2 linked regions of the Saccharomyces cerevisiae S288C genome follow. Changing the gene in region 2 together with the main gene of any one other region gives a genetic interaction. Each region holds a gene or a part of one and is shown on either strand. Other genes may lie near its edges.

The links. Genes that interact genetically often act in the same process or in processes that back each other up.
Region 1: mutations in SUB1 (region 2) and SSL1 together harm fitness more than expected from each alone (negative genetic interaction), as found in Saccharomyces cerevisiae (3 studies listed by BioGRID, with this or other methods).

Annotation. Positions count from the first base shown.
Region 1 is NC_001144.5:157,228-161,934, forward strand, and holds SSL1 (TFIIH/NER complex subunit SSL1), read left to right. Parts: upstream 1-2,821; coding exon 2,822-4,207; downstream 4,208-4,707. Other genes in the region: CMS1 (Cms1p), read right to left, coding at 1-503; THI73 (Thi73p), read right to left, coding at 707-2,278; mitogen-activated protein kinase kinase kinase SSK1, read right to left, coding at 4,528-4,707. UniProt on the Saccharomyces cerevisiae protein: Component of the general transcription and DNA repair factor IIH (TFIIH) core complex, which is involved in general and transcription-coupled nucleotide excision repair (NER) of damaged DNA and, when complexed to TFIIK, in RNA transcription by RNA polymerase II.
Region 2 is NC_001145.3:346,959-351,899, reverse strand, and holds SUB1 (chromatin-binding transcription coactivator SUB1), read left to right. Parts: upstream 1-2,377; coding exon 2,378-3,256; downstream 3,257-4,941. Other genes in the region: D-arabinose 1-dehydrogenase (NAD(P)(+)) ARA2, read left to right, coding at 1-934; YET2 (Yet2p), read right to left, coding at 1,037-1,519; copper chaperone CCS1, read left to right, coding at 3,640-4,389. UniProt on the Saccharomyces cerevisiae protein: Plays a role in the release of TFIIB from the transcription complex during transcription initiation. Binds to TFIIB and specifically inhibits the formation of the TBP-TFIIB-promoter complexes.

The DNA of each region.
Region 1 (4,707 bases), on a different chromosome or scaffold from region 2:
GAAAAAACAATTTTTTTTGGAGCTACGGAAAATTTTTGAATAAAGGCTGGGAAATTGCTTAATCTGCGTTCAGCGTCAAATTTTTCTGTCGAAAGAAAATCATTTCTTTTGAAGTAAAGTTCCTCTAATTCTAAAACACTCAAGTCAGGATTTTTTTCTCGTATCAAAGTTGTTAGGTACTCAATAATTTTTTCTGGTGAACTTGCTGGAAGTGCTTTTCGTTGTGAGACGATATACTGGCTTTCCTCTTTCTTTTTCTCAATTAGCTTTGATTTTTTCTGTAGCTTTTTCTGTCTTTTCGAAATAGGTCTATTCGAATCATCTTCTGAATTTCTCTCCTCTTTTTTCCCATCTATATCATCAACGTCATCGTCATCTTGTTCTATAGACCTCTTTTGTACCTTTTTGGTTGGGGGACTACCATCCTTGGCGTCAAAAATTACTTCATGTTCGGCATCAAAATCATAGGCGAGTCCATCATCTAAATCATCTGGATTAGACATTTTCAGCTCAATTGTCCTGACGATATGTTTAGAAGTTAGTAGCGGGGATCAAATTTCGACTTTCATTGCCTCATCCATGGTCATCTCAAAAATTTTCTCTTCAATTTTTTGGTAAATACCAAGTGCAATGAATGTTTGGGTGTCTTTGAATATTGAATATTACAGACTAAAAATATTATATATTGTAAATTAAAAGTTGATTATTAGTAAATGTACCTGAAATTTCTGTTTTCGATATCAGTCAAGTCCAAAAATTGGTACTTCTTCCTTTCTTGACCTTCTTGTTCCTTATCACGCTTTTCGTTCTCCTTCTTGCAAATGTAGCCAATGTATAATTGTAGGGGAACACAAACACACTGAGTGACCAATAAGGCAATCTTTGCTGGTATGTAACGTGGAGCAGAGTATGCCCTAAACATCTGTGGAGCAATAATACAGGAGACATTGTATACAATCATTGTAATAGCATTTCTAAAAACTCTTTTGGTGTAACCGGAGGTGTTGCATGAATTCCAGATGTAAATATTGGTAATGACACAGGAACCACTGTAAAGCAAGTACAGAGAAAATAAGTTACCGATCTTATGGGATAAGGGTAAACTGATAAGAACGATACAACCTATAATAGCTGGAATATACATAGATGTGGTTATGAGTGTGATATGACCCCAGCGGGACAACATTTGAGTTGTTATAAGAATAATCATAGCCGTAATGGCACCAATAGGCAACTGCAGTAATGCTGTTTCGTACTTGTCGAAACCAAAAGTACCAGTGATGGTCACTGAAAATGTACCAATGGCACCAGTAGAAATTTGAGAACATGCAGTTAATAAAAGCATCGGCCAAGTAAACTTATCATGAAGGAATAGTTCTTTAACTTGCTGCTTCTTAAACTTCTTTGTTTCCAGGCCAGTTTGGTTAGCTCTGATATGCTCAACAACTTGAATTTTTTCCTCTTTGTTTAGGAACCAAGCATTGGTGACGTTATCTGGAAGGTATAAGAATGTTAGAACACCAAACGCAACTGTAACCAGACCAACGACCAAAAACATTATTTGCCAAGAGGTGAAAGCGGTACCATGATAATGTAAAAAGCCAAAAGAAATTAACCCGCCCACAATATAACCTGTACCAGCCTGTGTGGCCCAGAATCCAATTCTTGCACTCTGTTCAGATTTAGTATAGTACATACCACTAATAGCGATACAACCAACTGCACTCGAGGATTCAAAGAGACCTAGGAGAGTACGAACGACCATCAACGAGGCGTACGTCTTACAAGCAGCATGGCAAGCCAACACGATACCCCAGACGGTAATAAAAGTACCTAGGATTTTGGAAATGGGGAATTTTTGAATTAAGTAAGTGACCACAGGTTCCATGAAAATGTAAGCAGCAGAAAAGATAGTACCCAAATTAGAAAATTCGTTACCTTTCAAATGATCTTTGATACCCATAGATGCAGCGTAGTTCAGCAGAGCCTTATCCAAAAACATCAGAAGATATGTACAGCATAAAAAGGGCAGGATGAAGAGGTCAACTTTTCTCAGGACCTTAGGAGATAATTCATGGGAACCATAGAAGTTGGCTTCTTCGCCTGCTACAACATCGTCTTCATTAGCCGTGGAGCTTTCGTCGAGACCGTTCTGTTTCAGGAATCTTAAAGCAACGTCCGCATCGTCTACATTAATGCTCGAGGTACTTACGGAACAACTATCAGCGTTAGCTGCCTTCTTCTCCACGTCCATGGATCGTTGTGACATGTTTTTCATTGTATTGATTTGCTGACACTCTCACTACTTCTCAGCAACAACAAAGTAAACTTTAATCTATCATACTTTGAACTATCTTATATACGTGTATATATGCACCCGCTGAGATGCTCATCGAGATTGCTCATCACCTCTGAAAAGGCTGTCTGTCACCACCATGTTTTCCGCCGGACCAAATGACAGTTCCTTAAGGGAAACTCAAAGAGACTATATTAACTAAGGAGGATCAACCAGATATGCAAAAAAAACAAATAGTTATGACGGCACTCGAACCAACCAAACACCACCCTATAATTAATGTTGATAATGATAGCGACTCGAAATTTGCCAATAAAACCTGTCTATTACGCGTCATCTACTTGAGAGTAATATACTGGAAGTTCGAGATACTCCGCACAGGGTCTGGGTGGTAGGTTTCTTTGCTATTGTATAGTTTTTCAAGATACGTAAAAGGTCTTCATCTTATCTTATATAGATGCAGGTGATTACTAGTGGGGCAAGTCGGCAGCTAATTGCGTGTGTGCGGAAGGATTGTGCAGTAGAATGGCTCCTGTAGTTATTTCAGAATCTGAAGAGGATGAGGATAGAGTTGCCATTACTAGAAGAACTAAGAGACAAGTTCATTTTGATGGCGAGGGAGATGATCGTGTAGACCAACAGCAACAGCAGCACAGTTCAAGCCACAGGGATAGGGATAAACATGTGCAGCGTAAGAAGAAGAAAAGGCTCTCGAATAGAAACCTGCAAGGTTCAAATGGTGGGTACGCTTGGGAGGATGAGATCAAGAGAAGTTGGGATTTGGTGAAAGTGGACGATGAAGGGGATATGGCATCTCTTGTGGCTAGCATAGTCGAGGCCAGAAAGAAACGTACTGCTAAGAAAAACATAACGCCATACCAAAGAGGTATTATCAGAAGTTTAATATTAACACTAGATTGTAGTGAAGCTATGTTGGAAAAGGATTTGAGACCAAACAGGCATGCCATGATTATCCAGTACGCCATAGATTTTGTCCATGAATTTTTCGACCAAAATCCGATATCTCAAATGGGTATTATCATAATGAGAAACGGTTTGGCACAACTGGTCAGCCAAGTTAGCGGAAACCCGCAGGATCACATTGATGCGTTGAAATCCATCAGGAAACAAGAACCGAAAGGAAACCCTTCATTGCAAAATGCATTGGAAATGGCAAGAGGCCTTTTATTGCCTGTTCCTGCGCATTGTACAAGGGAAGTACTGATTGTATTTGGTAGTCTTTCCACAACTGATCCTGGAGATATTCACCAAACTATCGATTCGTTAGTTTCTGAGAAAATTAGAGTGAAGGTTTTGGGGTTATCAGCTCAAGTGGCCATATGTAAAGAATTATGCAAGGCAACGAATTATGGTGATGAATCCTTCTATAAAATTTTACTCGATGAAACTCACTTAAAGGAGCTATTTAACGAGGCTGTTACCCCTTTACCCGTTAACAAAATTAATAAGGGTTTCACACTCGTAAAGATGGGGTTTCCGACAAGGATATTCGAAGATACTCCAACTTTTTGTTCGTGCCATTCCAAGTTAGTTTACGGCGGATACTTCTGTCCCAATTGTCATAGTAAAGTTTGTTCATTGCCCACAGTCTGTCCATGTTGTGACTTGATGCTAATCCTTTCTACCCACCTGGCCAGATCATATCACCATCTGATGCCGTTAAAAACATTTGCAGAAGTACCTACAACAGAAAAATTTCGATCAGAAGACTGCTTTAGTTGCCAGTCAAGATTTCCCATACTGAAAAACCATAAAAATGGTAAACTACTGACAAGTTCTCGCTATCGTTGTGAAGATTGTAAACAAGAATTTTGTGTTGACTGCGATGTGTTCATCCATGAAATCCTTCATAACTGCCCAGGCTGTGAATCCAAGCCCGTAATAACTTAACGAAAATCTGTCAGCGTATAACACGATCACTCTTCCATCATATAACAAATCCAAGTAGTAGAGAACGAAATAGTTTTTGATGGACATATAACTACATAATTATTACAAAAATAACCTCATTTAATGTCCTATTGTTTATTACGAGAAAATCTTAATAGCACTTACGGCATTAAGAATATTTATTACTATTTTCAATTTATCAGGCACTTATTCAACTAAAAAAAAAAAAAAAATTCTTTGTTTTACAATAATATTAATAATTATTTTGAATAAATATCGTTACATTCTATCATAATGTCCTCTACACGGTACAACCAAACTCACAATTCTATTTGAGTGGGCGAGAGGTTTGAATTTTTTCTTACTGGGCTGTGTGTAGGGGTCATAGATGTCGCTTGTTTGAATGAGTGAGGGTTGGAAGGTGCAATAGGTTTCTGTGGAGATTTAACCAAAACACTGTCGGTCATCCGGCTTTCTCCCTGCTTCCAGCTGTCAAAATC
Region 2 (4,941 bases):
CCAGCAATATACAGATGAGCCAGAATCCATTCCACTGGAAGACATAATCAAATACGCATTTTCGCATGGTATCAATGCAATTGACACTTCTCCCTACTATGGCCCTAGTGAGGTTCTTTATGGTAGGGCACTGTCCAATTTAAGGAATGAATTTCCCAGAGACACTTATTTTATATGCACAAAGGTTGGGCGTATTGGTGCGGAAGAGTTTAACTATTCTAGAGATTTCGTGAGATTTAGTGTTCACAGATCGTGCGAAAGATTACACACTACATATCTCGATTTGGTGTACTTGCACGATGTCGAGTTTGTCAAATTTCCAGACATCTTAGAGGCATTAAAGGAATTGAGGACCTTGAAGAACAAAGGAGTTATCAAAAATTTTGGCATATCAGGCTACCCAATCGACTTTATCACCTGGCTTGCTGAGTACTGCTCTACCGAGGAAAGTGATATTGGGTCATTGGATGCAGTATTGTCCTATTGTAACTTGAACTTACAAAACAATAAGCTATTGAACTTTCGAGAAAGACTGCTACGCAATGCTAAACTGAAAATGGTTTGCAACGCATCAATCTTGAGCATGTCGCTACTAAGGTCACAGGAGACAAGACAGTTTCACCCGTGTTCTCATGAATTGAGAGAATGCGCATCTCAGGCTGCCAAATACTGTCAAGAACAAAATGTCGACTTAGCCGATTTGGCCACAAGATACGCGATTTCGGAATGGGTAGGAAAGGGACCCGTTGTTCTTGGAGTCAGTAGCATGGAAGAATTGAAACTTGCTCTGGATAATTACGAAATTGTGAAATCGAATGGCAACAGATTATCTTCTAAGGACGGACAACTAGTAGAATATATCCAAAAGAATATTTTTAAAGAACATTTTAATGAAGAGTGGTCTTCAGGTATTCCTCATCCAGAAATGATATAATCACCCCAAAAAGAAAAAAAATTTGTCAAATTTTAGTTTATATTCATTTGTTCTATTTACATATGTAAGTTTTTCCTTTTCTTCTTTTTTAGTTTTTTCCTTTTAAAATTTCTTCTTCTGCAATTCCTCTAAATATTTTTGCTTTCGTCTTAACTTTTCCTTCAGAATGTCATCTCCAGCCTTCATTTTGTCATTCCATTCCACTATTCTTCGCAATATACTCATCACGGTGAGTATACATATATAAAAGTAGATGATGAAGCCTGAAATGTAAACATTCCTTTGGTTATATGCCCTTGAAGCCAGTGCATCCACTGGGGTTACACTATTTATTATATAGGGATTTTTCTGGTTGCGGTACGTAGACACTCTGATCTGTGACCTTTTCCATGAATCGATGAACAAAAGACCAACGAAGATCATGATTCCAACCATATAAGTTCTGAATTTCTTATTAGTACTTATGATACTGTAGCGTATATACAGCCACCTTCTCATACGCTGTGGAAGCGGAAGTACCAAAATAAACAGAATGGCCATTTCGATGACCAGTAACGAAAAGAGTACTGCCAAATAAACACCCATCACTAACTCGACTTTGAAATTTTGCTTAGTATTTTTCTATTCACATAATTCATGCTCCAACGAACACTCAGCGTATTTATTTACTTCCAGGCGGCTAGCTTTTCTCAGAGAAGGCCAGCTGTACATATATTGCTCTATCAACCCTTTTTTTTCCCTTGTCTTTTTTCCAAGAAAACCATTTTGCCTAATTGACACAAGCCTACACAACCAAGTTAGCCGTTAAACACAGCAGACGTATCTCGATCTCGTCAATGATATATACGTGTTTTTTGGAAGAATGAGATGGGATAGTAATACACCAAAAATGGGCTGATCATCCGATGTTATTATCAACCATTGGTGGATGGTCAAGACAGCGGCGCTAAATGCCACAGCCTCGATCCGGGTAATACTTATTTTGAGTTTTTTCAGCTGGGACGAATTATCATCACTAACAAGGACAATGAGTATAGCACTGCACACACACACGTTTTATCTTTACGTTATACGTAATTTTTCCCTCCTTTTAATGATGAGAATTTATTAATACATTCATTTGAATGGGAATTTTACTTTTACCTTCCTCAAATTTCTTTATCAAAACTCAAGTTTTCCTCTCTTTTCATCTCCTCTTCCTCTCCTTTCTTTCTTTCTCTCTTTCTTTTTCTCTCTTGGCTTGCCTTCTGCTCTCTATTCTTGATGAAAATTCTTAATTTGATCCAGGGAACGATAGGAAGACAAGAGAAGAGGTTGTAAACGTGAATTTTGTAAAAGTCCCCAATCAAAGAAACACTTTTGGTTGCCCACTTAAGAAAGCTATTTAATATTAAATCTTTCCGTACACATCAATTTTTCGACATATATACAAACACAAGCGCTATGTCATATTACAACAGGTATAGGAACAAAAGAAGAAGCGATAATGGTGGAGGAAACTTAAGTAACAGTAACAATAACAATGGTGGTATGCCATCTGGACTATCCGCATCAGATGCAATTTTTGATCTGGGTAAAAATAAGAGGGTCACGGTAAGACAATTTAGAAACATAAATTTAATTGATATCCGTGAGTACTATCTGGACTCATCTACAGGCGAAATGAAACCTGGGAAGAAAGGTATTTCGTTGACAGAAGATCTATACGACGAATTGCTTAAGCACAGATTGAATATTGATGAAGCCTTGAGAAGGCTAGGATCCAAGAGACCAAAAACCAAAATGGTTAGACTATTGTCCGACGACGAATATGAAGATGATAACAATAATGACAGTACTAATAACGACAAGGATAAAAACGGGAAGGACAAGAACAGCCCAAAGAAGAGGAGAGAAGATAAGTCCAAAGCATCTAATGAGAGTCATGACTTGGAGCCACGTTCAAAGAAGAAGAAACCTGCTCCACCTACTCTACTTCCACACGAGGAAAACATTCAAAACGCTGAAAGAGAAGCCAATGCTACTTTGATCATCCCAGGCCAGGCAGGTAGGAAACAACAAGAGGAACGCAAGCAAAAGGAAAAAGAAGAGGCAGAGGAGGCAAAGGCAAAAGCAGTTGCAGAACAAGAGAAAGAGGCAAAGGCAAAAGAAAAGATAGCTGAACCTGAACCTGAACCTGTACCCACACTTCAAGCTAAAAAAGAAGATATTGTCTCCAACATAAACGAGTCAAAAGATGCAAATTCTAGTGACGAAGAATTTGCTCAAAGCTTGGAAGCTGAAATGAACAAGGCTGAAGACGACATAAGTGAAGAAGAATAATAGTCCTGGAAGTTGAGCTTGCTTATGTCAACGTCTTCCATCCAACGAGCTTATTAGAGAATAAAAAAAAAAAAAAAGAAATAAAAATATATACTTTTCTGTTTGTCAAATTCATTTTAACAATTCATATAATCAAATATGTGATTTATAATAACCAGACAAAAGTTAATCTTGTACATTTCAGTATAATATACTATCAAAAAAAAATTTGCGCTTACTAAGCATTTTCCCCGTACAACTAGTACACAGTGAGAATGGAAGAGGGTAAAAATTCATTGTTCGGAAAAATAATATATTAAAGGCAAGCCAAAAAAAAAAAATTTAGACTAAGAAAAGAATAAAGATATCTTTGCAAGGCAGAAACCCATTCGATCAGCACAAAAATGACCACGAACGATACATACGAGGCTACTTATGCCATTCCCATGCACTGTGAAAATTGCGTGAATGATATAAAGGCATGCCTAAAAAATGTCCCAGGAATCAATTCATTGAATTTCGATATAGAGCAACAAATAATGAGCGTGGAAAGCTCAGTAGCCCCTTCAACCATCATCAACACCTTGCGAAACTGTGGTAAAGACGCCATCATAAGAGGCGCCGGGAAGCCGAATTCTTCCGCGGTCGCTATCTTAGAGACCTTTCAAAAATATACTATAGACCAGAAAAAGGACACCGCCGTGAGGGGCCTAGCAAGAATCGTTCAGGTTGGAGAGAATAAGACTCTTTTTGACATCACTGTAAATGGCGTCCCAGAGGCGGGAAATTACCACGCCAGCATTCACGAGAAAGGCGACGTCTCCAAGGGCGTGGAATCTACTGGTAAAGTTTGGCACAAGTTCGACGAACCCATTGAATGCTTCAACGAGAGTGATTTGGGCAAGAACTTGTACAGTGGGAAGACCTTTCTGAGCGCTCCCTTGCCAACATGGCAACTTATCGGCCGCAGCTTTGTCATTTCCAAGTCTCTGAACCACCCAGAAAACGAGCCTTCCTCCGTTAAGGACTACTCATTTCTGGGAGTCATTGCGAGAAGCGCTGGTGTGTGGGAAAATAATAAACAAGTGTGTGCGTGTACCGGAAAGACTGTTTGGGAAGAGAGAAAAGATGCCTTGGCCAACAACATCAAATAGAACATCCAAGATAGCACAACGTAGCGTAATACAGATATAACATAATATAGTATACTACATCATAACCACGTGATGCCGGACATGTACATACGCATGTGGCAATATGCCAAAGCCGGTTTCCAATCCTACTTCATATTGCCTTGTCCCTCCGGTTTCGCCGGCAACAACGGCCCGGAACGTACCTAAAGAGGTATTTCGCTCTTGGTATCCGTACCTCACTTATCTCCAGCACCTATCGTTCCTGGCCAGACGGCCGGAGTTGATCTTTCGTCTTTCTCCGGAAACCACGGCGTTCAGCTACGCATTCCGTAGCAGCCAAGCCGGTTCTTGACACCATCTGTCTACGTCATACATATCGGCTCTTTTTGTCTCTAATAAATTAAAGAGAGCCATTTATACGAAAAAAACACCTTTTTACGAATTTCAGAAAATCAGAATGGGAAAAACAAACTGCGGAAAAGAAAAACAAGACACCGAAAATATATACAATTTCCCCTCTACAGACAACATATAGTATTGACACTTACTTATTTATATTTGTTGTTTCCAGCG